Linked DNA regions of Cricetulus griseus. The protein of the gene in region 1 interacts with the protein of each later gene in a pairwise test. Links are inferred from orthologs where the notes say so. Each region holds a gene or a part of one and is shown in the gene's direction. Other genes may lie near its edges. The genes, in order: Atxn1, Cfl1, CUNH1orf94, Crk, Ywhaz, Mettl27 and Zhx1.

Region 1 (4,107 bases):
GTCATAAGTAAACGGAGCCAAAAGGTCTCTCAAATCCCGCTTACAGTCAATAATAGTGGCTTCCTACAAGACCGAGGGATCGGGTTTCTAGACTCTTAGTTCTAAGCACCTGAAAGAGGTCAGATGCTGGCCTGACACCTACTGGTTTTCGAGAATTATCTGCAGCAAAGGGAACTCGGCACTGAGCGACCCTTGTAGGGTTGTGCCCGCTCTTTCTCCGGGTGCCACACCTGTTGGCAAGGTACACTCCTCCGGGGAAGATTCCTTCCCACCGAGCTCACACCTGGCAGTGCTGTAGCGGAGGGGGTGGGTGGGGGGACTCTATGTCTGCGTTCAGCCACCAGGACCAGGGAAAGTTCCTTTGCCGTGGATTCCCGAGAACCGCCATCGAATGGTCGGGGCACCGGTTACCTCACTTCCGATGAAATGAGTGATTCCCTGTTAGCTGAGAAAGGAGTGAGCAGGTCGGCTCCCAGAGCTAGAACTGAGACGTCTGATTCCTACTGCAGATTTCTAGACCTGCAGAATTAGATAGGAGGGTCGGGAGGCTGCCAGCTTGTCCGGGCAGGAAAGGTGAGGGCGCCAGTGCAAACTGAGGAAGCCTGAGAACTTTCCCGAGTTGCAAGCCAAGGCGCGGGCCCAGAGTCGGGTTGCTCAGGGCTCACCGGCTGGAGGGTTAACAGCGAGGATACAGTGAGTCCTCTTAGACACACACCGGGGTGGCGGGGTGGGGGCACCAAGGTCACTTCGGGATTAGAGTCAGCCGACTTCCCCGCATCCTTGCTTATTTTACCAGGTGGGAACCGAAGCCTGACACCCGCTGCGGTGAGTCCTCCAGGCTGCGAGCGTTGCACCCTACACTCGCCCTGTCCCCTCCAACTAGGTTGCAAGGAGACGGGGAGGCGCGCGAGCTCCGACGGGTCACCACTCCAATGACCTCATCGCCCCAACTTCCCCTCCCCTTTCTCAAACCTGGAAGGCACAGTCCCCACGGGCCGATGTCCGGGATCCGGAGCCGCAGTTAGGGAGAGGCACCGGGCCTCCCCTGGAGGGAGGGACCGCTGCTCCGGCCGGGTGCACAGAAGGGTTAAGGGCGCGGGCCGGCAGCCGCGCCGTGCGCTCGCCGTGCTCTGTGCGGCTCGCCGGGCCGCCTGCCAGAGGGTGCCCCCCCCCCCCCATGAAGTCGGATCCTTGAGCTGTGGCGGCGGCAGCCAACTGCTCCATATTTGGCTTCTATTACACATTTACATACTGGAGCGAGCGAGCGAGCGCGAGAGAGAGCGCGAGGGAGGGAGGGCGGGCGGAGGGAGGAGGGAGGGGAGGGGGGAGGAGGAGGAGGAGAGAGCAGAGTATACCGCAGACATCATTTCTACTACAGTGGCGGAGCCGTACAGGACCTGTTTCACTGCAGGGGGATCCAAAACAAGCCCTGTGGAGCCGCAGCTAGAGCTACAGCAGCCGCAGGACACTGTGTCTCTCCCTCTGTCCCCCCTTCCCCACGCAACCCCAGATCCATTTACACTTTACAGTAAGTGGCTATTTTTTTTCCTCCTCTGATTCTTTCTCTCCCCCTCCCCCTTCCTCCTCTCCCCCCCCCTCGATTTAGATTAAAATCACCCCCTCCCTCACCCCAATCCTCTCTCTCCGGAGAGGGGCCAAAGAACATCCAGCGTACAATCTCCCCTCCCCCAGTCTCAATGGGCTACAAGGAAAACAGCTGGAAGAGGAGCGAAGGAAACCGACGCGTCGTGGTGTGTGTGCGTGTGTGTGTGTGTGTGAGTGTGTGTGTGTGTGTGTGTGCGTGTGCGCGCGCGCGTGTGTGTGAGTGTGTGTACATATACCCCTGCCGGGCTCCAGCCTCCCGGCTCGGGACCCCACTCTGGGCGCTGGAGCAGCGGGCCCGGGGAGCAGCCAGGGGTGGGCCGCCCCCAGGAGAGGGGGCGCGCCCGGGCAAGGGGCGCGGGTGGGGAGAGCGGCGGCGCCCCGCTCAGGCTGCTGCTGGCCCGGCGGCGGCGAGAGCCGAGAGCCTGGTCCTCCTCCCTCCTGGTGGCGCAGGGGGAGGCGGCAGCGGCTGAGGGTCGCGCTGCCCTCTTCGCTTTTGCAAATTCTCCCTCCCGGGAGGGGGCGGTGAGCGCCGCGGGGACTCGAGGGAGGGCTGGGCTTCCCCGCCCGGGGTCGCCTAGCTTGTGCGAGGCGACCCCAAGACTGGGGTCTCCCCGCCCAGGCCAGCCTCTGGGGACCGGGGACTTTGCGCACGGCCTGGGGGAGAGGAGAGGTGGCGGCGCAGGGGGCAGGGGCGCGCAGGCTATCGGAGCGCAGCGGGAGTGGCGGCGGGGACGGGCCCTGGCTGCAGCCGCCGCCACCGCCGCCCTGTTGGTGCGGCCGCTTCCTGATCCAAAGCAGCCGCCGCCGCCGCCGCCGCTGCCGGAGCCGGAGCCCGAGCTTCCCAGCCCGGCCCGGCCCGGCGTCCCAGCCGGCGCCCGAGGCAGCAGCCGAGGAGGGGCTCTGCCCTGCTCCGGGACTGCTCGGCTGCGCGGCGGCAGGGAGGGTGAATGAAGATGGGAGGAGGGGAAGGAGGAGGCGGCGGAGGAGGAGGCGCTGCGGGGATTGGGATGCGCCCCGGAGCCCCGCGGCTCGTTCACTCCGAGCCCGAGACGCCGCCTCTGCCGTGGCTGCCGCGGCCGCCGCGCCTCCTACGTGGTTGCAACGGAGCGCGCAGGCCGGTCCCGCAGGGGGCAGGGAAGGGGCCGGACGGGCGGAGCGAGAGGTGAGGCGGGGTCGGAGAGGAGGGAGTGAGAGCCTGTGAGTGTGTAGGTGTGTATGTGTGCGTGTGTTCTCGCGCCGAGTGGGGACCAGAGCCTCCGAGATGGGGAGGGGTCCCGCGGTGGTCCTTTGGCTGACTCTGCAGCGCCTCGACTTCTCCTTAGCCACCTCCTTCAACTCTGGGGCTTGTGCGCTTTCATTTTATTTCAGACCACGTAGAGCTGACTGGAAGCGGTGAAACAATTCAGGTTTTCTAGGGAGATTGAGCAAGGACCTTAGTGGTGGGGGGTGGAAGTAGGATGGTGATCTAGACTCTGCCAGAAAAAAAAAAAAAAAATCAGGGTTTTAAGACGGTGGAGTTCAGTTCGATCCCGTGGCTGTCCTGTTTTGTTTTGCTTTCTTTCTGCATAATCCTACAGATAAGAGGGTAATATAAATACTTGGGAAGGTTGGGAAATTGCTGAAGAGTAGTAAGGGCGAAAAAAAAAAAAAGCCAGTCGGAAGCTGGTTATATAATGCTCTATGTGGCTAACAAGAAAGGCAAGCTATTTTTATTTTGTTTACCGTATGTTGTGCAGTAGGAACTCCTCCAAACTGGTTCTGTCCCCGAAGAGATTTCTTAGCTTCTCAGAGAGAGCCACAGGATACAATTAGTAAAATTAGAAGACCCCACACCACCTACAGAATAAAAAGTAGTGCCTTACAGTAGAGTTCTCACCCTTGCATGCAGAGGACTGTGTGTGTGCAATATGTTTCCCTGTGGCAATCTAGTCTCATCTCAGTGACATTTCTGTTTTATAATGCAAGCTCCCCTTAATATTTAAACATCATTGCTATAGGTCGTACACAACAAGGTAGTTACATGCTGGTTATTTTTAGGCACAGCTGGTTACTTTTCAGTAGTGTTTGCAAGCTATTTCTATTTGGTTTTCTGAAAAGCCCTGCAGTTCCTAGAAGCCCTAAGTTAAGCCCACCCTCTGGTTTCTTGATGGTGGGTAGGTAGCTAAGACAGTTTGACAGCCGAGAGTTTATTTTTATTTTATTTTTGAATGAAGTTTATGCTAGTGGAAGCTAGAGGTAGCCACCAAAAGAAAAACATGTGCACGAACTCTTGGGAAGGGATTGCACCATAACAGTTTAGCTGTGGCATTTAATCTCCTCTGATTGTCCTCTAACTGGCCATGCATCAGTCAATATTTTAGCAGCTTTGCAAATAAATGGGCTTGAATGCTCCCTTCCATAGGAGGCTGAAAAGCCTCCTGCCTGTCTGCCTCTCTCATCATACAGATACTGTCAGTGGTGTTAGTTTTCTGTACACTTACTCCGGCCCTGATCACTCATGTA
Region 2 (4,148 bases), about 210 Mb from region 1:
CACAGGAGGGGGTCTCTTCAGGGATTGGAACAGCCCACGATCTCCAGCTGTCATGCCGGAAGTCGTTGTCCACCTCACTGGCCGACCCTCTTTTCAATCTAGCCTTCCGCACCCTCCTCCTTCCTCGGGCAGCCTTATAAGGAGCCAGAAGCTGGCGCTCGGGCTGGGCACGCCCCCTGGAGTCTCATTCCCTAATAAGGACATCTAGGGCATCTCGTGGCCGGGGGCGGAAGGAGCGCGTCTCCAGGGTAACTGTAGCCCCTCCCCACGTTGCTCTGGGAAACCGCGAGGCTCGAAAAAGGTGGAGCTAGTCTTTTCTTTAAGAGGGGCACGGGGTGGGGGTGGGGGGGTGTCAGGCTTCGCCTGCACCGGGAGCTCCGCCGCTCAAACCATGAGTGCAGCCGGCTTGACTCTGACTACAACCCCCGGCATGCTCTGCGAGTTGCCTCACTCTCGACGGGGTTGTTCTTCATACACACCCTTTATTCGGCTTATGGGGCGGGTCAAGGGCCCCAGTTTCCTTCGCCTGTAACTTGCTTGCGACTTTGCCCTCTTTTCCTGCCGATTGTGAAGCTATGATCATTGTTCGAGGTCAAAGAAATGTTCGAGTCCCCACCCCAGTTTATTTTAAGCTCTTGCTCTCAGAGAGATTGTCTGGTTCTTTTTGTTGTTGTTGTTGTTAAAATAACCATAAACCTATCAACTCGAGAGCTAAATTCAAGTAAATATTCCTTTTCTTATCGCCTGGTAAAGGAAATATATGTCTCTAATACATAACTCTTCACCCTTCCCACATGAATTATATTTGACCCAAGAAGTTGCCAAATGTCTTTAAACAAACCGAAGCTCTCAAACTTTCTATTGTAACGTTTTCCGTTTGTTAAAATCCTATTTTTTGTTGCAATTTCATACGACCTCTTGGGAGACAACAGTGACTTTCCACATGGAGGGACACTTCACGGAAGCTTGTCTACTGGCTTGGAGACACCGTTATAATTGCGATCCTCCTTTCTTTGGAAGCGGATCCCAAGCCAGTGATTCAGAAAATTAAAACATTGATCAATAGGAGCCATACATAACGGGAATCCACTTCACTTTGGGATTAAGAGAGACTCAGGACAGAATTATTTTCAGGTCATCTTATCAAGCCATGGGCCTCTTGCTCATCTAAGAGCGTTTCCTGATCCCTTGCACCAATGGGCTCACTCTCCGTGCAATAGCCCCGCCTCTCTGCCTCCACCTACTCCCCCGCGCCTCAGGCTCTGCAGAACCCAGGAGCAGCTTAGCTCCACATCGGTGCAAAATCTTTGGACTTCATTTCCCGTCGGCCCGCGCGGCGAGCGCCGGAAGCCCGCCCCGCCCCTCATTGTGCGGCTCCTACTAAACGGAAGGGGCCGGGAGAGGCCGCGTTCAGTCGGATCCCGGCAGCAGCTGCGGCGGCTCAGCTCTTCTGTCGCTCTCCCTGTCTCCCTTTCGCTTCCGGAAACATGGTGAGCACTAGGCCACTGTGCCCGAGGGAGGCGGTTTCGTGACCAGTCGCTAGCGCGCCGGGTGGGGTGGGGGCGGCAGAGAAGCGTTCTCAGTATCCCCTCCCCCAGCGCCCCGAGCGAGATTAAGGGTCTTGCATTGAAGGGCAGGCCGCGCGTGCGCGCCCGTGGGCGCTGGGAAGGGCCGATTTGGACGTCGCTAGCGCGCCCCCTGGCTCCTTTCCCCTCCCCCATTCCGCTTTTGCGCCCGCGCGGTCACTGGCCGTGGGGGAGGGGTCCAGTGTGCCGAGCCTAGGGCAACGCTCGCCGGTTCTCGATGGCGCGCGCTGGACCAGAGCACGCGGCATCCAAACCCTGCCCCGGGGCCGCTAGGGAAAAGCGCGCGCGAGGTGCCGGCGCGCGCCCCACCCAAGGGCTGTTCCTTTCCTCGCATCATCCTCCCTCTGCGGATGGGTTTGTCTCCACAGCAGGTGGCAGGGATGCCACCAGGGAGGGGCGGGGGCAACTTGGCTGGCGGGGGGGGGGGTACGAGCGCATCGGAGACCTGGTTGAGGCACTGGCTCCGGAGACTAGGACCTTGCACTGGTCGTGGTGTTGTGGGTCCTATACGGGCTTTAGCCCCCATTCTAGAAAGAGCGATAACACACTGCCTTTTCTGTTCACTGTACTTCAGGATATGGCTGGAACGGCACTGTGCACCAGCGCGTGCGCACATGCTTGGGCCCTGCCATCCCGGCCGCAGCTCTGGACGAGCTAGGCCTTTGGCTCTGCCGGATGGGGCCGAGGGTGGAGCCGCGTTTAGGGAAGTGACCCAGGCGGGTACCGCCCGGAAGCCACCCAACTCTTATGTTAAGCCCGAGGGCCTGGAAAACTGATGCTTGTGTGACTGGCCCGTGCTACCTCTCAAAGCTGACGGGGCTCACGGCTATTCCTAAAGGCGATTCTTAGGCTTTCAGACCTCGTACATCCCGCCGCCTCTGGGATACGACTGTCTCTTGGGAAGGCCCTGAGCCTAACCCAACCTCCTTTCCCCGCCTACTCCGGAAGAGGGCTAATCACGTGGCTAGCTTCCTCTGCAGTTCCATGGTTGGGGGGTTGGTTACAGATTTCTGTTTGGGTCGGCCCCCAGGGCCATGCAAAGTAAAAAATTTTTGACGATTTGAGGCACTACAGTTTGACGTATTTGTCAGTGATCTTTAGGACACCACTCTTAGGGAGTTGTCCGGCAGGGCCCTAATTAGGGGTTGTAATTTTTTTGTTTGGGAGATCTCAGCAGGTGAGAGTGTCGTTTATGCAATGAAGGCTCTGGCAAACTTAATGAACTGTTGAGCATCTGTTGGGTCTTTGCGAAGTTCTGGTCCCCTCTTGCCCGAAGATGAGTCTGGCCCAGGTGCTCAGTTTTCCTTCAAAGTCAGCATTTTAGTTTAGCGGCTGAGTGGTGTCAACCCAATCAGTAACTTTCAGATTCTTTGAATTTGGCGTTAAGTCAGCAAAGGCTTTTTGTTTTGTTTGTTTGTTTGTTTGTTTTTCTTTTTTTTAAGAGACAGACTTTCTCTGTCACCCTGACTGCCCAGGAACTCCGAGAAAGGCATGTTCTACCACTCCTGGCTATGTTTTCCTTTTAACAAGCGCTGTTTCTAACCTTTCATGGGGGTGTTGAGCTAGATAATTGGTACTCTCCCTTGTAGGGGTTTGACCCACCTAATCCTTAGATGATGGATTGTATTGGGGATCGTATGTCTGCAGGGACATTACTATTTTTGCGGGGCTCAGAGCTATACCTTTTGGTATCCTGACTGAGGTTTCCTGTTATTTGGTTTGCCCCTCAGGCCTCTGGTGTGGCTGTCTCTGATGGTGTCATCAAAGTGTTCAATGATATGAAGGTGCGCAAGTCTTCAACGCCAGAAGAAGTGAAGAAGCGCAAGAAGGCAGTGCTCTTCTGCCTGAGTGAGGACAAGAAGAACATCATCCTGGAGGAGGGCAAGGAGATCCTGGTGGGAGACGTGGGGCAGACTGTGGACGACCCCTACACCACTTTTGTCAAGATGCTGCCCGACAAGGACTGCCGCTATGCTCTCTACGACGCAACCTATGAGACCAAGGAGAGCAAGAAGGAGGACCTGGTGTTCATCTTCTGGTGAGCTCCTCATTGAAGCTCTCTGCCACATGTTCTCTTTCTCAGGAGAGCTTAACCGAAATCATCCTAGGTTTGGGGGTCAGGGTTGTAACAAAACTAATGAGGAACATGTCAGGGAGCCCATGTTGAGCATCCTAAACAAGTTTCTTTTCTGGAGACACCTATTTGGGGATAGCTGCCGCAGTTTCCTTGCTTTGTCTTCAGGGCCCCTGAGAGTGCACCCCTTAAGAGCAAAATGATCTATGCCAGCTCCAAGGATGCCATCAAGAAGAAGCTGACAGGTAAGGATGGGTCTCCTTTTCATGTGCCCTTCTGTGTGAGTCGAGACTGCCATGTGGGTTGATGACAATAATGGGTCCTCCATTCTCCTGATCAGATGGCTGCTTCCCAGACACAAAGCTCCCCATCCCAGTGCTCCCTGCTCACCATTCTCTTTCTCTGTAGGAATCAAGCACGAATTACAAGCAAACTGCTACGAGGAGGTCAAGGACCGCTGCACCCTGGCAGAAAAACTAGGTGGCAGC
Region 3 (4,144 bases), on another chromosome or scaffold:
GTGAGATGAGTTCTTGTTTGTTTGTTTTCTATCTCTCGAGTCCCTGTCCCAGCGCTGGGGTCGCTTAGGAGCCCAGGGCACTAGATCAGGTCTAGAGTCCTGAGTTTTTGAATTTCAGCCTTCCTTCTTGAACTCTGGACAAACACAACTTTTTAGGACTTGGAGACTCATGTATGCCGAATAAGAAGTAGTACTAAACTCTTGACCTGGAATAGGATAAGATTTGAGCTCAGCCCTTGGCATTCGGTGCTCCCTTGGAATGGCAGTTAGGATTAATGCCAGAGGACAAAAGGGCAGGTCGCCCACCCCTCAGAGGCTCTTAAGTATGTCTGTAGTGGTGGGGGTGGAGACAGTGTTTCATTTTGACTTACTTCAAAGGGGAAGCTCTCTGGGGTCTTCCCGGCTGCACCCCGCCCCCACTCCACCAGCGGACCTTGGATACGAACGCCTGGCCCGTGTCCCCGCGCACCCAGCCGCCGAGCCGTTGCGCTTGAACCCACAGAAAGAATCCCAGCTCTCGACGGCAGGGGAGTGGGAGATACTCGGCACGCAAATCTGCTGACCCCCGCCCCGGCCCACCCTGCCCAATCGGCGCCCTTTTAAGGGTTGGGACCCTCTGCGGTGCTGGGTCTCAGTTCTGCGCGGAGGCGCTACAGGTGTCCGCTGGGGACCTAGGCCAGGCTGACTGCCAGCACAACACCGCATAGGAGATTTCTTTCTAGGGAGGCAGAACAGCAGTAGCAGCAGCAGAGAGAGAGGGACAGAAGGGGGCAGCCGGGAGAGCTAAAGCCAGGAACTGCGGTGGGCGAGGGCCGTTAGCCCTTGGCGTGCACCGGATCTCTGGGAAGGTGGGAGGAGACAGTCCCATGGCCTGCCCCCACCCAGTCTAGTACAGTGCCCAGCCCTTACTCAGCCCTCCTGGCGGCTTGACAGGCGAGAATGGGCTGAGTCACAGGCCCTGAAAGGTGTCACAGGGGTGTCGCAACGGGGGTGTGCCGGGTTCTGTGGGGAGAGCCAGTCCTCCCCTCCAGTCGTTCCCAGATGTCATTCTGCCCGCCCAGGCGCTTGGTTCCTGAGTTCCGGGGCATTCCACGGTTACTAAGTTACTGGTTTTTGTTGACTTTTAAATATTTTCTTCTACGGGAGAGGGGGAGGGGGGCAAAAGTCAGGAAAGAGCAAATAAAAGCAAGTCAACATAAGCCCCCCTTCCCCAAAAGAAAGTTGCCCCCTACTCCTCATCCCCACCCAAACAAAACGCCTCTGAAACCCATCCCTTGGCTGGAGCATCAGCCAGCTAGAACTGACTACTTCCCAGGCCCAGTCTTTAGCTCCCTTTCTGGTGAATGAGGGCTGGTGGTGGACAGTCCCTTTGTCTCCCAGCCCTGGGTGGACAAAGGGGCTTCCGGAAAGAGAGAAAGAGGATGGCCAGTGGAAATGGGCTCCCTCCATCCTCGGCCATGGTGGCCAAGCGTCCCTCCGCCCTGGGGCCATTCCCCAGATACGTGTGGATCCACCAGGACACACCCCAGGATAGCCTAGATAAGATTTGCCATGACATCTGGAAGAGAGTTCAGGGCTTGCCGGAGTCCCTGCAACCCAGGACCTCGCTGGAGAAACTCTCGGCGCCGATGACCGCGACTGTCAGCTTCCAAGAAGAGTGAGTAGTGCCCTGTTTGGTTGATTATCAAGGAATGGAGGGAGGGGAAATGAAGTCTGACTTAGGGTTGAACTCTCTCTGGCCAGTGTTAAACTCTATAAACATTTTCTTCATCCCTTAGTATGGGTAGTTTGGAGGAGGGAGCTGGCCACGGTGCTGAAATTCCAGGAGCAAGGGAAGAAACCATTCCTGATGGCTTCTTTCCAGATACTAAGGAGACATTGTCATTCTAAAGGCATAGACAACTAAGATGAAAATCTGGGGTCCTGGCAAGAGTATTCTCACCAAGCCTAGGGGTAATATCACTGTCCCCAGAGGCAACTAGGTGATCTTTCCCCTCTCCCAAGAAAAGTTCAGGCATTGGCACAGATGAGTCTGATGGCTGGAAACCACATCTGGAATCCCCTAATACAGAGAGCAGCTGTCCCATTCAGCATCCACAGAGCTACTGCAAGAGCGCACATCAAAATATTTACTGGGAAGGCATTGACATATTCAGAGGACATAATAGAAAATTAAAGTGCGGGAAGATGACTGTAAATAGCCGGTTTCCCGGATGGGAAATCCCATGTCTGGGAAACACAGAGCTAAGTGTTTCTGCACTAGGAAAAAGTTGAAGAGATATTGTTGGGGCTGGATATTGGAAATGAGAGGAAGGAGCAGAGAGGAAGAAGGGATCTCATTAGGAGAAGGAGTGCATTCGTTTTGGTGATTAATGTCACTGCTGAGTACTCTTTCAAGGCTCTGCACCTTCAAAGTGGGCTGCAAGCGTTAATTAATCCTCCCAGCATCCCTATGAAACAGGTATTAGTGTCCCCATTTTACAGATGGATTAAGTGTTAATAATTAAGTGCCAATTAAAGCCTAAGTGATAATTAAGTGTTGTCTGCCCCCAACACATGCTCCAACTCAGTTCAGAGATGGGGGAACCATTCAGGCATTTATCAGCTGCCTCAGGTTTCAGGGCTCTCTAAGCAATAGCTGAGAGGGAAAGAAAAGTATAGCAGATGCTCAGGTCTGCACTTCCTGCAATCCCTTTGCAAGCTCCTTTGCTTGATGCAGATGAAGGTAGAAGGCATGCTGGCTGCTTCTGCCTCCTCTGCCCTATGCTCAGCAGGACCCGGCTCAGATGGAAATGGCCTTTCTATAGCCAGAATCCTGTGGCTAGTCTTTTCAGTGGCACCGAGCTCCTCTGTCTTGTTCATTGCCATCTGCTCTGGGACAGTGCCTTGGCATGGGAAACCTTGGGGGCTGTACTCAGCTCTCTCAATGGCCAAGGAGCTGATTGTCCACTTTCTGGATCATAGGTCAGTAGCAATTTCCAGTAGATAGCCCCTTCTCTGCCAGGTCACACTGAATTCATGGAGACAGACTCTACTTCCAGTCCACACTTGGCCAGAAATTGAACTAGCCTACCTTTGGCCAGTTGATTCATTCTGTTTGGCCCTGATTTCCTCATCTGCAAATTGAGGATGATGTGCCCTGCCTTGTCAACTCAGAGTCGATAATGAGGGTCAAATGTGATGGGAAACAAAGAAATGAAAGATGCATTATAGAAACAAGACCGCCTTAATATGTAATGCACCGAGTTTTGGGGTGGGAGGGTTACTGCTGTTGGCTTTCTTCTGGAGTTTTCATGTGGTCTCCAAGTCCCAAGGGTGCTTCACACAGCCACCCTAGAGTCAAGTGGGTTGTCTGCTGGGTCCCACACATACTTTAGTCAGAGCTGTTCAGGCTTTTGTTGGTTTTACTACTGGAGTTCTGAGTATGGTTGCATTTGAAAGAGTTTGGTGACTGAGAAGAGACCCAGGAAACCACCTACTTGGAGGAATAAACCACATCATAGTTGTAGCTATCCACCTGGTAGAACACAATGAGAACTTCATGAAATGAAAGCCAGTGCTTCTGGAGTCAGACAACCAGGTTCAGCCCCGCGCTGGATGCAGAACTGTGACTGTATGGTGGATCTTAACTTTGGTCATCTGCCAAATGGAGGTGACAGTAGGGGTTGCTGGAGGTGGCAAATCTGAATCGTTCAATGGTCCTGCTAGTAATTAGGATTCATAAATTCCTTCTAAGAACAGCAGTTATAATTTCTGTAAATCTTGAAATTTTTGCAGGCAAGAGGTAGTACCTTTTCAAATTCCCCATTCTTTTTTCACTATACAAATTTGCAAACCCCCAAAATAAAGGTAGCGAGAGCCTATAGATCTAAATTTTTAATTTTTTTTTAATTTTTTATTTTCTGTGCACTCATGTTTTGCCTGCATATATATCTGTGGGAACCCCATGTTCTGAGTGATGAAGGGTAAACTTTAAAACTAGAGGGCACACCACTGTTTCTTATGTGTTCAGATACACACCTGCTGGGTTTTCCCCTGCCTAATGTGTAGAGTTTTGATGGGGGAGGTCCTTCTGTGCATATGTTTGTCTTATTGGCTGATAAATAAAGTACTGTTGGCCAACAGGGAAGCAAGATAGGTTGGA
Region 4 (4,223 bases), on another chromosome or scaffold:
AACTTGGAGTTAGAGACAGTTGTTAGTTGCTATGTGCGTGCTGGTAATTGAACTCGAGTTCTCTAGAAGGACAGTCAGTGCTCCTAACTGGTAAGCCATCTCTCCAGCCCCTAAACTGGAAGTTTTAAAGATTTTCAAAGTTTTATGCAGGGTAACAACAGATTTGTATTTAGAAAACTTGTACTGATGGCTATTACAGTGTCATCCAGCAAGCCAAACTAAGGAACAGCAGCAGGCGGGCTGTGCACTGGAATCTTAGCAATAGTGGCCAGCCAGGCATGTTGGTGCATTCTTATAATCCCTGTACTGGGGAGGCTGGCGTGGAAGGATCTTGAGTCGGCCTGGGCTACATCATAAGATTTCATGTCAAGCAGGGCATTGGTGATGGCACACGCCTTTAATCCCAGCACTCGGGTGGTAGAGGCAGGTGGGTCTCTGTGTTTGAGGCCAGCCTGGTCTACAGAGTGAGTTAGAGGACAGAGAGGGATACACAGAGAAACCCTGTTTCAAAAAAACAAAAACAATTTTTTTCATTTCAAAGTAAAAAAAAATTGAGAGAGATGATCATGATCATGAAGCAAGTGAGAGTAGGAGACATCCATCACTACAACTGAGAATATAGAGGAAACTGTCTGGTTGACATAGGAGCCTCAATCCTTTCTCCTGTCTGAGCATTTTGTTTTCTTTGCATTGAGTATCCTTCCCCACTTGCCATTCAACACCCAATCATTCAAGCCACCTCATCTGTGGACCCTTGTTTGTTGTTTAGGTTTTGTAAGGTAGGGCCTCAGACTCACAGTAATCCTCCTGTCTCAGTTTCCTAAGTGTTGGTGTTACAGTCATGAGTCACATTACCAGTCCCTTGGATCCCTCTACAGACTGCCTAGTTGATCTCTTTATATTCCTGTTTTCCATCATAGCATTTGTTGTTCCTTTGTCATTAATTGTTTCCTGGTTCCTCCCACTGGTCTGTGAATTTGGTGACTTACGGCCCAGTCTGGATCACCACTGCACCTGCAGGGAAATGTAACGTCTATGATTGTTACTGAGTAACAAGAACTTCTGCTTACCTCGGGGGAAACTGAAGAAAACAGCAGAAAAATACCAGCTTGTCAGGGAGCTTTGAGGGAGGCTAACATCTTGGGACCGTTTACTACTCCACTCCTGTAGGTCCTGGGCGAAAGACCTAGGCCACCAATCTGTCAGACACACATCAGTCAGCTTGCAGACTGAAGCTCCGCCCCTTAGTCCTAGACTCCGCCTCCCCATCCTCGGTCGCCAGGGTTTGGACCTGGAGGCGACGCCCATGAAGAAGCCGCGTGCGCACTGCGGGCCCCAAGGACTCCGTTTCCCTTCTCCCAATGGCGGGCGGCGGTCCCCCTTCCCGGCAGCCTCCCTCGGGTAGAGAGCGCGTCATTTCCGGTGGGGAAGGCCCGCGGCCGCCGCCGCCATTTCGGGCGCTGCTGGGAGGCTGACACCGGAGCCGGTCCGCTGGGCGGCGGGCGCCAGGGCTGGAGGGGCGCGCGTGGCGGCGGCGGCCCAGCGTGAAGGCGCGGAGGCGGCCATGGCGGGCAACTTCGACTCGGAGGAGCGGAGTAGCTGGTACTGGGGCCGCTTGAGCCGGCAGGAGGCGGTGGCGCTATTGCAGGGCCAGCGGCACGGGGTGTTCCTGGTGCGGGACTCGAGCACCAGCCCCGGGGACTATGTGCTCAGCGTTTCGGAAAACTCGCGTGTCTCCCACTACATCATCAACAGCAGCGGCCCGCGCCCTCCAGTGCCTCCGTCGCCCGCTCAGCCTCCGCCGGGTGAGGGACAGGCGGGCGGGAGGCCCCGGGCGGGGGTGAGGGCCGTGGAACTCTGGTCCGCTTCAGGAGGAGGGACGTGGGCAGAGAGGGCAGGAGTGACCCTGGCGGGGGAGCTGCCTTCAGCCCAGGCTGGTTCCCACCGACGAGCGGGATTGTGGGGGAGGAGGAGCTGCTCACCGAGGCCTCTGGGTGTGCCTTGGGAGCCGGGGAAGGGGAACTGCTGCGGCCCCGGGGTGGGGCTGGGCGCCAGGGTCAGGCCCAAGGGCAGGGCAGGGCCAGGCAACTTGGGGACAAAGAGTTAGTGGGGATGTTGCGGGGACACAATTTGGCAGAGGTGCCCAGAATGGATCTGCTAATCCTACAAGTGGCTTTTAGGCTTGAAACGTTTCCTGCAGTGTTAGAGCCGGTTTTGGCCATACTCCCCTGGTGGCCTTCGGTAGGAAGTCACCACGTACTGGCTGGCTGGGAGGGATGGAGACACCCTCAGGAAGCCGGTCGGTTTTTTCCTTTCTTGGGCATTTTTCCAAAATCTTTTTACCGTGTTCTTCCCTTGTGGAATACGAAGGTGGTGAACTAAGTGACTTGGTAATAGAAAAAAGCCTTCTGTGACCAGCCCAGAGTAATTGAAGCCTAGCTGGCAAACTGTCCAAGAGGTTTGAAGTGTCCAAAAGACTGCCTGCTGCAACTAGAGTTTCTAGTTTCAAAGTGATTAGTGGGGGAAAGGTTTTTTTTTTTTTTTTCCTTCAGAAAATAAACCAGGTATAAGCCAGTGAGAACAACCCTGGAAGTGAATGGAGCTTCATTCTCCTTGGGTTTAAACAGTGTCAGTCATGTACTTCTGGGTCTTTTATTGCTCAGTAAGTTGGTGTTGTAGTCAAAGTCTTCCAAGATACAAGAACAGACCTGTCTGTAAAGATAACACCAAGCATTTTAGTTATCCCACGGGGTCTTGTCAAGGATCAATGAATTGTAACCGCCTTGCCCATACTGTTGGAGTTGTCTGGCAATGTTAAGGAAATACATCCACTTAGCACTTGAGGTTTTTGAGATACAGAGTGATTCTGTGATTGCCTTTGTCTGTGTATGTATGTAATGCATCAAGTTTCTTGCTTTCTGGATGTTTGAAGTGAAAGCCTTTTTCTCCTAGATCTGAGCCAGTCTCATGAATGAAGACTCCTTGGCTAACCATAGCAGACCTGCCCTTTTTAGGATAGTCCTAACTTAGATTTATTCACTTTGGCCTGAAATGAGGTGCGATAAAGATAGTTCTTTTTGTTAGCACACACAAGTTAAGGGAAGAATTTAGTATTGAGGTCCTTTTAGTTTACACATTTAGATCTTTCTAGGTCTCATTGGTTTAATATGTAAAATAAAATAAGAATATTAATGTAGCACATTTGCCCTAAAGGTATTTGTGCCATCTGCAAGGTATCTATTTTATGTTAAGTGCAGTACTAGGATGGTATGTTGTCATTGAAATTCAATTTCCAACCACATGTCATAGTTAATGCCTGTAATCCCAGCACCTGGGAGACCGAAGCAAGATGATTTTACAAGTTCCAGGCTATCCTGGAGAACTTAGTAAGACTCTGCCTCAAAATAAAAAGTTAGGATGGGGGTGGGACTGGGAATATAATTCAGTGGTAGTTTATTTGCCTAGCATTAGGGAAGCCCAGGTTTTATTTCCAATAGTAGGGTAGAAAATTTCAGTCCTCAGCTTTCTCTCTATGTGTTTTGTTATAAAACTTGGGAATAGTAGCAGGCAGGTTTGTTAGTTTGATATTTCTCCATACCTGGGCATTGTGGTTTTATATCTCAGCAGCTCCACCTTTTCAAAATAGATGGTTGGTCTAAGAGAGGAGATTGCCAGTTTGTGGGTGGGGTAGGAAAGTTCATTGGCATTGTGGCAATTTGTTCTGTCATGTACCCTATTTTCTCTTTAGGGCAGTCAGTTCACTTGCTGTTTTTTACTTTATGATGGATACTTAATCTTTGCCCCCCCCCCATTAAGCTCTTTTTGTTTTAAAGCTACATAGGGATTACTTGAGTTTTAGAGAGGCATATATAATATTAATAGCTGACACTTATTGACTGCTTATTGTATGCCAGATGCTTTGCTGAGGACTTTCTGTGCCTTACAGAAGTTACTGTCGGTAACAATATAGTGAGTGAAATATTGCAATGTGCATTTATTAAAATATTTCCAGTTTTTGGACGAAAGAACTAGAAATCCAGTAACTTGTAAGGTCACAAATTTAGTATATAACTAAACCAGAATTTGAGCTAGACAGTGTCACCTGAGAACTGACCCGGCCCCTTATTATATAGTTTTGTTATTCTTTGTTTATTTGCTTTGAAATCCCTGAAGTGCACTTAGGAAACTCCATTCTTTTGTTTTGAGACAGAGTCTTACTGTGC
Region 5 (4,246 bases), on another chromosome or scaffold:
CCATTCCCACTTTACAGGAGATTTAACCTAGTACCTTCTGTCAAATTGCGAGCGCCTACTACAAAGCTGGAAACCTGGAATCTTTTGAAGTGTTAGTCACCTACGAAGTGAGTCACTCCCTGCAAGAGTCTCCATGAGAGCCTGCATCGGTTTGCTCATCTATCTGTTTTAGCGGTGCTGTGGATCTGTGGATGTGCAGACTCGGGGTGGGTGGGTCAGGGGAAAGCGATCACAGGCAACTCTCGAGCTACCTATCTGCCATTTCAGGGAAATGATCATTTGTAGAGCAAGCTTATGACCAGACCATGTATCCGACAGACAGACACTGAGTTGGGGGAAGAACAGCTTGTCGTGGAATCTTCTGGAGAGCTATGGGCTGAATACTTTTTCCCCCCTTTTCTTTTTTCCAGCCAGCAGGAGCTGGGTAAAGGCGTTTGCTTCAACTCAGGACGCACGTTTAAAGGACGCAAGGGCACACGCTTCACGCTGAGAATGCTTCTCCCTCCGCTTCCGTCTGCTGGGTGGAGACCTTGCGGGTGCAGGCACCTGCAATTTCCGCCCTCTTCCTACCCCCTCTTCCGGGCCCAGGCGCTCCCGCCCCTGCTCGGGCGAGCGGCCCCCCTCCCACTGTCAGATGGGGGGCCCCGAGAGCGAGCAGCCAGTATCCCCAAGGTGGCTCCCAGGACCTAAAAGGCTCTTTGAGAGCGTTAAGTGGAGACAACGAGCCTCCCCGTCAAAGCCCGGCTGTGTGTGTGTGTGGGGGGGGGGGGGCAACAGTGCAGCGCCCGGAGATCGGCTCGCTGTGTGAGCCTGTGTCCCCCCAGCTCGCACAAGCCCTTCCCCTCTCCTCCCGGAGACCCCCCATTGTCTCCCTGGCTGTCACGGTCTGTGCGGGGCGACAGGAGGGACAGCGGGCGGCTCGCCCGAGCCTTAAAAGGTCTAAGGCCGCTTTACTGCAGCGGTGGGCGAGCGGGCGAGCTAGCAAGCGGCCACGCCCGCTGCCGCCCCGCAACCGGGGCTCTGATCACAATGCCCCGGCCGCAGAGCCCGCCGTCATTACCGGGGCGGCCGGGAGGGGGAGGGGCGGGTGGGGGGGGGGGAAGACGCGAAAGGTCCCGGATGTGCCCGCCAGTAGAGGTGTAGGGGGGAGGGAGCGGCTTCCTTCCGCGGGCCGCAGGGGCGGCGCGGGAGGGAGGAGGGAAGGAGGAAGGAGGGCGGCTCGCGGGGGCGGCGGGGGCGAGCCGAGCGCGCGGGAGGAGGAGGAGGAGGAGGCAGGGTCGGGGACGCGCTCTCCCTGAGCTCGCCTCGGGCGGGCAAGCGAGCGGGTGGGCGGGGCGGGCGCGCGCCGGGGGAGCGGCGGTTGCGCCGGGCACCAATCAACGGTTGCCATAGCAGCGTTTGACGTCATTGTGCGTGTGGTGCCCCTGCTGCCGGGGCTAGTGATTGGAGGAAACCCCGTGTCTGCGGAGCCGCTGTAGCCTGTGAGCAGCCAGATCAGGGACAGAGTCTCAGCCTCGCCGCCGCCGCCGCCCAGGGACACTGCCGACCGGGTCCGTGTGCCGCCACCCACTCCGGACACAGGTGAGCAGCCTCCCGGGCTGGCCCCTCCGCCGCTCGCCCGCCCCGCCGCGGCGGGCGTCCCCAAGGATCCTGGACCCGGGCGGCGGCTCGTCCCGCCGAGCCCCGGGCGAGCGCCCACGGCCGCCCCCGGGCCGCTTGCTGCTGGCCCTGCCGGGGTGCTGGTCGCCCCGTCCGCCCGTGTCCCGTGTCCCCGGGGGTGGGGGTGGCGGAGGAGGCGCCCACGCGCGAGACCCTCCCGGGTTTGGGGGGGGTAGGGCTGAAGCTCGGGCGAGCGGGCGAGCGCCATCCGCCCCCGCCGGCACCCGCTTCCGCCGCGGCTGGGACCGGGGCCGTGGCGCAGGTGAGGCGGCCCCCACCCCGCCGTGGCGCCCCCGCCGCCCCTCCCCCGCCGCGCGGGCAGCCAGGTAGCGCGCGCGCGAGAGAGAGCGAGTCTCCGGGGTGGGGCCGGCTCGCCCTCCCGCTTGCCCTCCCGCCGGGGACCCGGGGCTGAGCTTCCTGGGTCCCTCTCGGTGGCTCACTCGCTCGCACGCTCGCACACTCGGTGGGTGGGTGGGTGGTTGGGGGAGGGGCTCGGCCTGGGCGCCCCGGGGACGCAGGGGGGTCTCCGGCCGGGTGGGAGGTGAGCATCCTTCGGGGAGAGCGGGGGCTGCGCCGGTCTGGGTGGGGCCCGGCCCCTCCCATCCCCCTCCTCCTCCTCCGCAGCTGTCGGGGGCGGGAGGGGGGACCCCGGGAGGGAGAGAGCGGGGTGTGTCCGGTGCGGGTCGGCCGCCGTCGGTTCCGCTCGTGCGGGCGCCGCTGGCTGGCATCGGGGGGCCCCCTCCGGGTAGGGCGAGCCGCTCGCCGCCGCCTCCTCCCCCCCACCTCCACCACCCCACCCCACCCGACCCGACCGCTCCTCCCTCTCGGCTCGGCGGTGCTCGGGTTGGGTTGGGCTCCTTGACACAGTTCCGCCATGACAAAGAGAGAGAGAGGGCGAGCGAGCGAGCCGGGGACCGGCGGAGGCGCCAGCCTGGGCGGAGCCAAGAAGGGGAGGTGGCTGCGGGCGGCGCGGACGCGAGCGAGGACTGGCGCTGGCTTTAAAAAGTCTGGGGCGCGGTTTCGGCTCGCCCCCGCTCGCCCGCCCGCCCGCCCCGGGCAGGCGAGGGTTAAGTGGGTGCGGCGAGGGCTCCCGCAGTGTAGATGCTGGTTCTTCGTGTGCTTCCCGCGGGGAACCGGGCGGCTGAGGTCGGCGGGGGTGGGGCCGCCGGGGCCGCGCTGACATCACTTCCCAGGGCCGTTTCTGGTGTGAGGTTTCCAGACCGCAAAGGGTTAACTCGGCCTAGCCAGGCCCCGGCGCTTGTTTCAGTTGAGGATGCTTCTCATTGATTTAACGCCCCCTCCCTCCCCACACCACACCACCCCTCCCCACCCCCCAAAAAAGCGATTTCTGGAAAGGTTAAAGGAAAGGGTGCGATGGTGGCCTTGGGTGGTGGCGGTGCATTGGGCAGTGACTGTCATGGAAATTCATTTCCTGGGATCCCTGTGGTTGAGAACCGTGCTCTTGACCCCGTTCAAGGAAAGAAAAAAAAAAAAAGTTGATCAGAAATAAATTGGGATCTAGGGAACTTGAACTGCAAAGGAGATTGGCGGAGAAGACGTTAGGGCCGACTTAATAAATGGTGACTTGGAGAAAAGCCATGCAGGGGGAGTCTGCACCTAAACTGCAGTGTGACATCGCAGGGGGCGCCTGCGCTTGGGTTGGCCCTGAGTGCTCGCTCCCTGCTGCGCAAAGTGTGCATGTAACTCCATGTAGATGGGTCTGTCTGGTCTCGGGGCGAGTGATCCCTAGTGGTTTTATATTCAGGGTATCCTAAGCATCAGTCAGTCAGTTTCCTCAGATAGTTTTCATCCAGGAAGTGTAGCAGATCGGGCTGGAGAAAGTGCTAGGTAAAAGGTAATCCACTCGGGGTCAGAGTGCACACACTGAAGGTTAGCTGGCCTGACTCACGGTTCTGCGAGTGGAGTGCTCTTCATGGACCTTCTAGGTCCGGATCTGGAGTGTTCTCCCCAACGCACTCACGCACACACACACTCACACACACTCACACTCACACTCACACTCACACTTACCCTCTCACTGTAGGGAAAGGTGGTGAAGTGTAGGTCACTCTGCATTGGGATTAAGTTGAGCTTTTTAAGAAAACAAGTGTGTTGGAATACACAGCAAGGGACAGCAGGCTGAGCGATGACAGGTCTGTGTCACAGCTTGAAGGTGGCTTTTGATGATAGAGTAGCACATATATGCTCTGATCTTACCTGAAATTGGGGGTCTCCTAAACAGGTGGGGGGGCGTCTGCCATTTGCTAAGCCACTGTTAATATGCTCGGTATGTACGTTTTCTGGTTGATGGGAGGGGCTGTATTTTAACTTGCCGTGGTTTAAGATACTAGTATACCTTGTTACAGGTACAAGGAGCTATTCTAATAGGAATTTTCTGAATATCCCTTTTCTTCCCTTTGCAGAATATCCAGTTATGGATAAAAATGAGCTGGTGCAGAAGGCCAAACTGGCCGAGCAGGCTGAGCGCTACGATGACATGGCAGCCTGCATGAAATCTGTAACCGAGCAAGGAGCTGAGTTATCTAATGAGGAGAGGAATCTCCTCTCTGTTGCTTACAAAAATGTT
Region 6 (4,216 bases), on another chromosome or scaffold:
GTGCATACCCCTAGACACTCCCTTACGCTGCCCTATAAGATCTCTATACAGTGGCTTCGCAGTGTCTTTTCCTAGCCATCCTCCATGGTGGATGGATGAAAGGCCCGAGCTAACATGGGGTTAGCTCATTAAATAACTATAATAAAGTCTCGTGCAGTTTGCATCAAGCTTTCGAATCTGCCTGGTGATTAGAGTGGCTGCAGTCCTGGGCTGAGATCCTGGGGGCCTGAGCTCCCGGGGGTCTTACAATGGGATGGACTGAGATCCGGGGAGTGGTCCAAGAACGGTCACATGCACTGATCACCACAGCTAGGATAGTCATTATTATCCTTTGGTCGCCTCAGTGACAGAACCTATGAGTGTATCCATGCTAGGCAAGCACTCTTCTCTGAGAGACATCCCTGTCCTACACAGGATGTTTTAGGTGCTTCTGGAAAGTTCCATGAGAACAATGAAATCTCAGCACTTGGGAGGCAGAGGCAGGAGGTTGAGAAGTACATTTCTGTCCTTGCCTACATAGAAAGTTTAAACTAACTTGAGCTACTTGAAATCATAAAAAAATTAAAAACCGGGACTGTGAGATGGCTCAGCAAGTGAAGGCACTTGCAGGCCAGCTGAGAATTTGAGTCCCATCCCAGGAACTGGAAGGGGAGATGAGACTCCAAAAAGTTGTTCTCTGACCACCACACACAATCACCCAAAAATTAATAATTTATTAAAAAAAAAATACTGTAGCCGGGAGCCGTGGCACAGGGCTTTATTCCTAGAACCTGGGAGGCAGAGGCAGGAGGAACTCTGTGAGTTCCAAGTCAGCCTTGTCTACATAAGTAATTCCAAGTCATCCAGGGCTACATTGAGAAGCCTTGTCTCTAAAAAAAAAAAAAATGTATTTGTTTATTTATTTGTGAAAAAACAAAACCAAAACAAACCCAGCTGGGAGAGTTTGAGAACTTCCCAAGCAAGGAAGACTAGAGCCTTACGCTCATTGGCTCGTAGTAGGGGCGGATTTCGGATCTTTCTTTTGATTGTCTGTTTTCTCTTACGGAAACCCAATCATCTGATTGTGGAGGCGGGGCCAGGCTCTCTGTCCCACCGCCCGTCTAGCCCGGAAAGAGGGAACCGAGCTTTGCGTTCTGAATGTTCTGCTCTTTGGAGGCTTTGCGGTGAGGAAGAACCCCCCGATCCACGCCCGGGGGTGACGGGCTGGGGCGCAGCCCTCATTCCCTGAGCGGGATTACCCCTCTACCCACCCCTCCCCTACAAACAGTCCCGCCATCTCCCACTCAGGATCTTGTATGTGACGTGGGAAGGAGTTGGAGCTCTGGTAACCTCCTCCGCCAGGTGAGGAAGGACGAGATACTGTGGTGGACCTCGTCACAGGGTGGGTTCTGTCCCCACAGGAGGATGACTCGGGAGGAGGCTGGGAGGCTGCCCCAAGTACTGGCCCGGATCGGGGCCTCCCACGACATCACCGACCTGGCCTGCAAGCTCCGCTTCTATGACAGCTGGGCTCCGGAGTACGACCAGGTGAAAGGAAGCACGCGGCCCAGATTGTGTTTTTATATGCAAAGCAAGAATAGTACCCGTTCATTCCAGGGAAGCTAGGAGCTGAAAAGAGACCTGGGAAAGAACCTTCCAAACCTGCTCCTTAGCGATCTGCCCACCTACTAGCTCTAAGCACCCCCTCTAACTCTGGATTGGACGTCCCCATTGAGCCAAGAATGACCCACCTTAATACTGAAACTCAGACAGGGAGACTGCCTGCAGAAGGCGCTATTGAGTCGTCACTCAATATAGACAGACTGGTTAAGAGCTGCCACAGCTGGTCTGGCTCAAAGGTTAAGAGCACTGACTGCTCTTCCAGAGTACCTGAGTTCAATTCCCAGCAACCACATGGTGGCTCACAACCATCTATAATGAGATCTGGTGCAGATATACATGGAAGCAGAATGTTGTATACTAAATAAATAAAATCTTTATGGCCAGTAGCCAGTGGTCCCACTGGTGTGGGGTCCCTTGACAGTCAAAGACAGCTCAAGCCTGGGTCTTCTATTACTGGGGTCCCAGAAGGACCCAAACCAAACACATCAGCTCAAACCAACAGGCCCCTAACAGGCCCCTAGGTAGGTACTCCAAACCCTAGGGCACTAGAGGGTGTTAGACTAAGTGCTCTGTCCACAGGATGTGGCTGCTTTGAAGTACCGAGCCCCCTGCCTTGCTGTGGAATGTCTCAGTGGAGCCCTTCTGGGCCCACCCCATGATGCCCTGATCCTGGATGTGGCCTGTGGCACCGGCCTGGTGGCTGTGGAGGTAAGACCTTCTGATATGCTATGAGGATGCTCTGCTTCCTCTTCAGCACCCAGGGCTTCCAACATGCTACCTCTGAATCAGCAGCCCTCAGCCCCTGGCTAGTGAACTGTAGTCAGGTGGTCTCCACACATACCCTCGGCCTCTCACTGAGGGATTCTGAGCTTGTACTCTATCACTAAGCCATGCCCCAGTCTAGGCAGGTGCCACACCTCAGTCCTCACTGGGGGATTATTGATAAACCCTCTACCAACGAGCCACACCCGCAGTCCTTTAGTTTGCTTTTTATTTTGAGAGAGGGTCTCACTAAGTTGCCCAGGCTGGCCTTGAATTTAGGATTCTTCTGCCTCAGTCTCCGGAGTACCTGGGATGACAGGCCTGAGCCACCACATCTAGCTCCCTGCCACTCCTTGACCAAGAACCCATCCTCTATCTCTGGCTCATTGGTCACAACGTACAAGGACCCAGCTGAGCAGTGGCAGGGGATGAGCCGTGACTAATGCCACCTTCTCTCCCAGCTGCAAGCTCGGGGCTTTCTACAGGTGCATGGGGTGGATGGAAGCCCAGAAATGCTGAAGCAGGCCCAGGCACGTGGCTTGTACCAACACCTCAGCCTCTGCACCCTGGGCCAGGAGCCGCTGCCTAACCCTGAAGGTACTTCCCACTCCACACCCCTCCCCACTCACCCATATTACCAAAATATCCCCTCCTGTCCAGCCTCCATCTTCACTCTGAAGTCTTATGTGAGCCTTCTCACTGTTCCCTCCCTTCCAATCTAGAGTCTGAAGTCACCTCATCTCATACACAAGGCTGGGACCTACAGGTGCCTGAGGTCCTACTATACCCAGTGTATACATAACATCTTCTACTAATTATTTTTCTTATTGCTCTGACAAAATATCAGACAAAAGCAATTTAATCATAGGGTCTCACCTGTCCCTAAGGAGCTACACACAGTTGTTGGGAAAGGAACAGTCATTTTCTTCAGTGGTGTTGCCACTGATAAGTTGCCCATGCTCCAGCACACCACACACACACACACACACACACACACACACACACACACACACACACACACACACACACCAAGCTCAGGCAGCCCACCCCCAGTTAAACTCAATGGGTCACAAACAAAACAAGACATGAAAATAGCAAGGGTGGTGGAGGTGATGCGTGCCTTTAATCCCAGCCCTCAGGAGGTAGAGGTGTAGCTAGTTGTTTTATTCTTTTAACTTTTTGAGGGCCCCCCCACCCATCTCCCAAATAAATCATACACACAGGCTTATTCTTAGTTATAAATACCCAGCCTTAGTTTGGCTTGTTTCTTGCCAGCTATTCTTGACTTAAATTATCCCATCTATCTTTGGCCTTGGGTCTTTTCTCTTTCTCTATTCTGGCCTGCCTTTTCTTTCCTTCTTCCTCCATGTCGGACTGGGCGGCTGGCCCCTGAAGTCCTCCTCCTTCCTTTCTCATTCTCAGAGCCTTTACCCCCCCCCCCCGGATTTCTCCTCATAATTATCCTCTCTGCCTGCCAGCCCCGCCTTTTCCTCTCTCCTGCCTCACTATTAGACCATCAAGTGTTTTAGACACGCAAAGAATCACAGCTTCACAGAGTTAAACAAATGCAATATAAACAAAAGTAACACACCTTAAAATAATATTCTCCAATATAGAGGCAGGCAGATCTCTGTGAGTTCAGGGCCAGCCTGGTCTACATGGTGAGTTTCAGGATAGCCAGGGCCACACAGAGAAACCCTGTTTTGACAAAAAAAAAAAGGGGGGTGGGGGGAATAGCAGGTGCTAGAGGATGAGAGAAGTAGGGGTGAAAAGGACCAAACTACATTATATTCTTGGGGTAACTTGATGGAATTGGAGAGATGGTTCCTAGGTGAAAAGTACATTCTGCTCT
Region 7 (4,294 bases), on another chromosome or scaffold:
CTCGCTCTGTAGATCAGGCTGGTCTCGGACTCACAGAGATCCCCCTGCCTCAGCCTCCCGAGTGCTGGGATTAAAGGCGTGCGCCACCACTGCCCCCGCAATTTACTGGTTTCTTAAACCATTTGCATGAGCAGTTTACATTCTGAATTTAGTTCCAAGAAGCCAAAGCGCTGTCAAATTTTGTTTGTTTGTTTTAAGAACCGGGTGAGAGCAGCACAGGGTTGAGCACCTCTGCTGGTGAGATCACCGAGCCTCGGGGTGCACGAGCTTTAGAATCTGGGATACAATTAAAGTATTGTGCACGTCGACTTCAGCAGCCGGGCCTCCCCTTCAAGCAATTGCAGGCTGCAGATTTTAGCAGTGGGTAGTGCGGCTTGGTGGAGGAACCCTGCTACCAAAGCACAGAGGGTCTCTGATTGGGATGGGGGTGCGTCCGGGGCCGTGAGCACCCTCGGGGTGAGTGCTTGCTTCTCGCCTTCGTTTGCACCATCCTTTTAACCGTGGGAGGGGAGAGGCGGTGGGGAAGGCGCTGAGGACCTCAGCTGGGGCCCACGAGAGCTCAGCGTCCCTGCGTGGCTCGCAGGGGGACGCTCAACTTTTCCCCATCCGTCCATCCGGAGAGAGCTGGAGCCGCGGCGGCCGCTGCCCGGCTGGGCTCGGCTGGGCTCGGCTCGGCTCGGGCCGGCTCGGGCCGGGAGGGGCGGAGCCGCCGCTGGCAGGCGCGCGGGACTGTTGACAGCCGGAGGGGGCGTGGCTGGAGCCGGGAGGGCCGCCGGAGGCGGGGCTGAGAGGGGAGGGACGGGAGGTGGGCGTGGCGTGGATGTGGGGGCGGGACCTTGGAGTCACGGTCCAGGGAGGGGGGCGGGGCCTTCGAGTCCCGGGGTCCAGGGAGGCGGGGCCTCCGTGGAAGAAGAAAGTGACTAGAGGCCGCCGGAGGCGGGGCTGAGAGGGGAGGACGGGAGGTGGGCGTGGCGTGGCTGGGGGGCGGGACCTCGGAGTCAGGGTCCAGGGAGGGCGGGGCCTCCGTGGAAGAAGAAAGTGACTAGAGGTCGCGGTGGGAGGCGGGAGGCGGGGCTGAGAAGGAAGGGACGGTGATGTGGGCGTGGCGTGGCGGTGGGAGCGGGGCCTCGGAGTCACGGTCCAGAGAGGGGGCGGGGCCTCGGAGTCAGGGTCCAGGGAGGGCGGGGCCTCCGTGGAAGAAGAACGTGACTAGAGGTCGCGGTGGGAGGCGGGAGCCGGCTCCGCGCCGCGGCGGCGGTGGGCGGAGCAATGGGCCTGAGAGGGGCGGGGCCTCGCGCCGCCGGAAGGCGGGGCTTCCCTGACGGGGCGGGCTTGGGCGGACAGAGGCGTGGCTCCTCCTGACAGGGGGCGGGGCTCCGCTGACAGGGGCGGGGCGGGCGGGGCGGCGCGCGCCTCCCGCAGCGCGGGGACCCTGGGGGGGAGCGGCCTGGGTCTCGTCCCGGCGGAGCGGAGCGGAGCGCGGCGCGGCGGAGCGGAGGAGTCCTCGCGTGGGGCGCCGGCTCGCCCCGCCTCGCCTGGCTCCTCCTCGCGGCCCCGGAAGGCTCGGGGGTGGGGGGTGGGGGGACGAGGGCGTCCCCTCGCACCCTGGCTCCGCGTGTCGCTGCTGCCGGGCCGCGGGGCTCCGTGGGCCCCCCGCGTGAGGGCCGTCCGAGTGGTTCCGGGGTTAGGGTTCACGGGTCAGAGTTGACTCCCTGAAAAGTGCAGTCGCTCTCAAATGCAAGATGGCGGCGGCGGCGGCGGCGGTGGCGGCGGCGGCGAGGCGCTGAGGCGCGGCGGCCCCTGCAGGTAGCTGCGGCGAGCGGGCGAGCGGCGGGCGAGCGGCGCGAGCCGAGCTCCCCGGAGCTCGTGGCGGAGGGGACAGCCCCGGGGCAGACGTCCCCCCGCACCTCACCCCTCCCCCTCCCCTCCCCTCCCCTCCCCTCCATCCCCTCCCCTCCGCTCCCCCGGGACCCAGCCCACGGCGTCCGTGCGAGCCGCGTGGGACCCGGAGGCACCCGGCGGGCCTGCCCCGCGCACTCGCGCCTCCCGGGAGCTGTCGGGGATGGCAGGGCGAGCGCGGGGCGCGGGAGAGCGCTGAGTGAGTTGGGGCGCTGAGGGACGGTGGCAGCCCGTGCCCGGGGAGGACCCCCCTGACTGCGCCTGGGGACCTGAGGGAGGCGGCGAGCGCTGGCCGCCCCGGGCGTGGGGCCACCTGGCGGGGACGCAGAAGAGTCCGCGAGGGTCTCCGCGTGGGCTGGAGCCCCGGGGAGCCTCGGCCGGCAGGGGGGACGCGGAGTTGCACCCCTGAGTGAGGAAGACCAGGGTTGTCAGGGAGAAGTTAATGGAAGAGGGGGGGACACACTGTCTTCTGTGGAGCCATGGCTGGGGAGAGAGCGTGCTGGCCCTGGGGAGTCTCCATGCCTGGGTGTCAGGGAGAAGTTAATAAAAGAGGGGGGACACACTGCTGAGGAGACAGCGTGCTGGCCCAGGGGAGTCTCCATGCCTGGGTGTCGGGGAGAAGTTAATAAAAGAGGGGGGGACACACTGTCTCTCCGTGGAGCCATGGCTGGGGAGAGAGCGTGCTGGCCCAGGGGGGTCTCCATGCCTGGGTGTCAGGGAGAAGTTAATGGAAGAGGGGGACACACTGTCTCTCTGTGGAGCCATGGCTGGGGAGAGAGCGTGCTGGCCCAGGGGAGTCTCCATGCCTGGGTGTCAGGGAGAAGTTAATAAAAGAGAGGGGGACACACTGCCTTCTGTGGAGCCATGGCTGGGGAGAGAGCGTGCTGGCCCAGGGGAGTCTCCATGCCTGGGTGTCGGGGAGAAGTTAATGGAAGAGGGGGACACACTGTCTCTCTGTGGAGCCATGGCTGGGGAGAGAGCGTGCTGGCCCAGGGGAGTCTCTATGCCTGGGGCTCAAAGGGAACGACCTGCTGATTCCTTGACTCGGGTGAATGGCTACAAAGAGGGAATGAAAGAATTGGGGTCTGACAGGCAGGAAAGCCCAGCCCTGACACCGAAGTTGCAAGAGAAGGGACTTGGGATTCTTTGTCCAAGGGGACCAGCAAGGAACGAGCACGACCGACGAAAGGGACTCTGTTTGCTGTCCTTAGTGCAGGGGGACCAAGCCCCTGGGGAAACTGAATGGCTAGAGTAGAATGCCAAGGCACTTTTCTGCCGCCAGCCCTTGTTTAAGAGACAAAACCCAAACCACACCGTGAAGGGACACTGTATAGGAGAAACTTGTAAGAAAGGCTGGCTGAGAATTTGTGACATGACTAGGTGGGAGTCTGTGTAACTGGCAGAAGCAGTGCTCTCAGAGGTTAACAGGATAGCAATTGAAAATCCATAAGAACCCCTCCCTCTACCCCCAGGAGGAGTGAGGGGTGTGTGTGTGTGTGTGTGTGTGTTTGTGTGTTTGTGTGTGTGTGTGTGTGTGTGTGTGTGTGTGTGTGTGTGTTGCAGAGTGATATAAGTGCACCTTTTTGTTTGAGGTGTTGGTCACTGTATCTCTGTCTCTGTCTGAAAGAAAGCTGTGATTTGTGTGCAGTAGTAACTAATGCCCTGAAAAAGTCAGTATTTTAAACTAAACTGAAAGTTTGTTCCAATAGAGCTATTGGCACATAGATTATTTCAGTTTCTAAAGAAGCGATTCTGACTCCAGATTTAGTGAGGAAAGGTTAAGTGCTGCCAATAACACAAGTTTGGTAACAGGGCATATAAGGAAAAAGACGTGGTGTGTGTGTGTGTGTGTGTGTGTGTGTGTGTGTGTGTGTATGTGTTACAGTATTTCATTTATCAGTGATTTTTTTGTACAGTTACCTTTGATATTTGACTGCTTAGATTAAAATGAGGGGGGAAAAAAACCACGCTAGTGACTTGGGTAACTTAGACAGTTATAATTCATACAGATGTCCCGAGCTGTGCTTGTATTCTTAACAGAGCTTACTGTTTTCGTTGGAAATGTTTTGAGGATACAGGTCAAGTATAACTAGCTGTATAACTTGGAACACTTGTCTAAGTATGTGCTGTTCCTTGGTTTCCCCACAATGCACACGGCTCTGGTGTTCTACCCAGTTCTGAACAGATTAGTCTGGCAAAGCAGAGAGGCGCAGATGCCAGATGGTTTGAAAATATGCTAAGGCCGAAAACACAAATGTGTCTGCGCGGAAGATGCTCATCGGTGGTTTCGCTCCCTCACCGCCAAGCTTGCTTTACACTGGGCTGGACGGTAGGACGTGCAGGACGCCACCCTGGTCCCACCTTTCACCAGTCTTCTCTGTGCTGAAAAGCAGCA

The links.
Region 2: the proteins of Atxn1 (region 1) and Cfl1 interact in binary tests that used the Homo sapiens proteins (3 or more experiments, as listed by UniProt). The link is inferred for Cricetulus griseus from reciprocal best matches to the Homo sapiens genes ATXN1 and CFL1.
Region 3: the proteins of Atxn1 (region 1) and CUNH1orf94 interact in binary tests that used the Homo sapiens proteins (3 or more experiments, as listed by UniProt). The link is inferred for Cricetulus griseus from reciprocal best matches to the Homo sapiens genes ATXN1 and C1orf94.
Region 4: the proteins of Atxn1 (region 1) and Crk interact in binary tests that used the Homo sapiens proteins (3 or more experiments, as listed by UniProt). The link is inferred for Cricetulus griseus from reciprocal best matches to the Homo sapiens genes ATXN1 and CRK.
Region 5: the proteins of Atxn1 (region 1) and Ywhaz interact in binary tests that used the Homo sapiens proteins (3 or more experiments, as listed by UniProt). The link is inferred for Cricetulus griseus from reciprocal best matches to the Homo sapiens genes ATXN1 and YWHAZ.
Region 6: the proteins of Atxn1 (region 1) and Mettl27 interact in binary tests that used the Homo sapiens proteins (3 or more experiments, as listed by UniProt). The link is inferred for Cricetulus griseus from reciprocal best matches to the Homo sapiens genes ATXN1 and METTL27.
Region 7: the proteins of Atxn1 (region 1) and Zhx1 interact in binary tests that used the Homo sapiens proteins (3 or more experiments, as listed by UniProt). The link is inferred for Cricetulus griseus from reciprocal best matches to the Homo sapiens genes ATXN1 and ZHX1.

What each region holds. Positions count from the first base shown.
Region 1 is NC_048596.1:265,665,687-265,669,793, reverse strand, and holds the start of Atxn1 (ataxin-1), read left to right. Parts: upstream 1-1,306; 5' UTR 1,307-1,528; intron 1,529-2,608; exon of another isoform or gene 2,609-2,767; intron 2,768-4,107. UniProt on the Homo sapiens protein: Chromatin-binding factor that repress Notch signaling in the absence of Notch intracellular domain by acting as a CBF1 corepressor. Binds to the HEY promoter and might assist, along with NCOR2, RBPJ-mediated repression. Binds RNA in vitro.
Region 2 is NC_048596.1:53,848,254-53,852,401, reverse strand, and holds the start of Cfl1 (cofilin-1), read left to right. Parts: upstream 1-1,334; 5' UTR 1,335-1,487; coding exon 1,488-1,490; intron 1,491-3,316; coding exon 3,317-3,624; intron 3,625-3,828; coding exon 3,829-3,905; intron 3,906-4,068; coding exon 4,069-4,148.
Region 3 is NC_048595.1:25,030,156-25,034,299, forward strand, and holds the start of CUNH1orf94 (uncharacterized protein C1orf94 homolog), read left to right. Parts: upstream 1-1,343; coding exon 1,344-1,657; intron 1,658-4,144.
Region 4 is NC_048600.1:89,144,090-89,148,312, forward strand, and holds the start of Crk (adapter molecule crk), read left to right. Parts: upstream 1-1,418; 5' UTR 1,419-1,564; coding exon 1,565-1,805; intron 1,806-4,223. UniProt on the Homo sapiens protein: Involved in cell branching and adhesion mediated by BCAR1-CRK-RAPGEF1 signaling and activation of RAP1.
Region 5 is NC_048603.1:14,723,467-14,727,712, forward strand, and holds the start of Ywhaz (14-3-3 protein zeta/delta), read left to right. Parts: upstream 1-1,441; 5' UTR 1,442-1,581; intron 1,582-4,082; 5' UTR 4,083-4,093; coding exon 4,094-4,246.
Region 6 is NC_048597.1:114,000,263-114,004,478, forward strand, and holds the start of Mettl27 (methyltransferase-like protein 27), read left to right. Parts: upstream 1-1,404; coding exon 1,405-1,527; intron 1,528-2,181; coding exon 2,182-2,310; intron 2,311-2,825; coding exon 2,826-2,961; intron 2,962-4,216.
Region 7 is NC_048603.1:29,563,168-29,567,461, forward strand, and holds the start of Zhx1 (zinc fingers and homeoboxes protein 1), read left to right. Parts: upstream 1-1,487; 5' UTR 1,488-1,806; intron 1,807-4,294. UniProt on the Homo sapiens protein: Acts as a transcriptional repressor. Increases DNMT3B-mediated repressive transcriptional activity when DNMT3B is tethered to DNA. May link molecule between DNMT3B and other co-repressor proteins.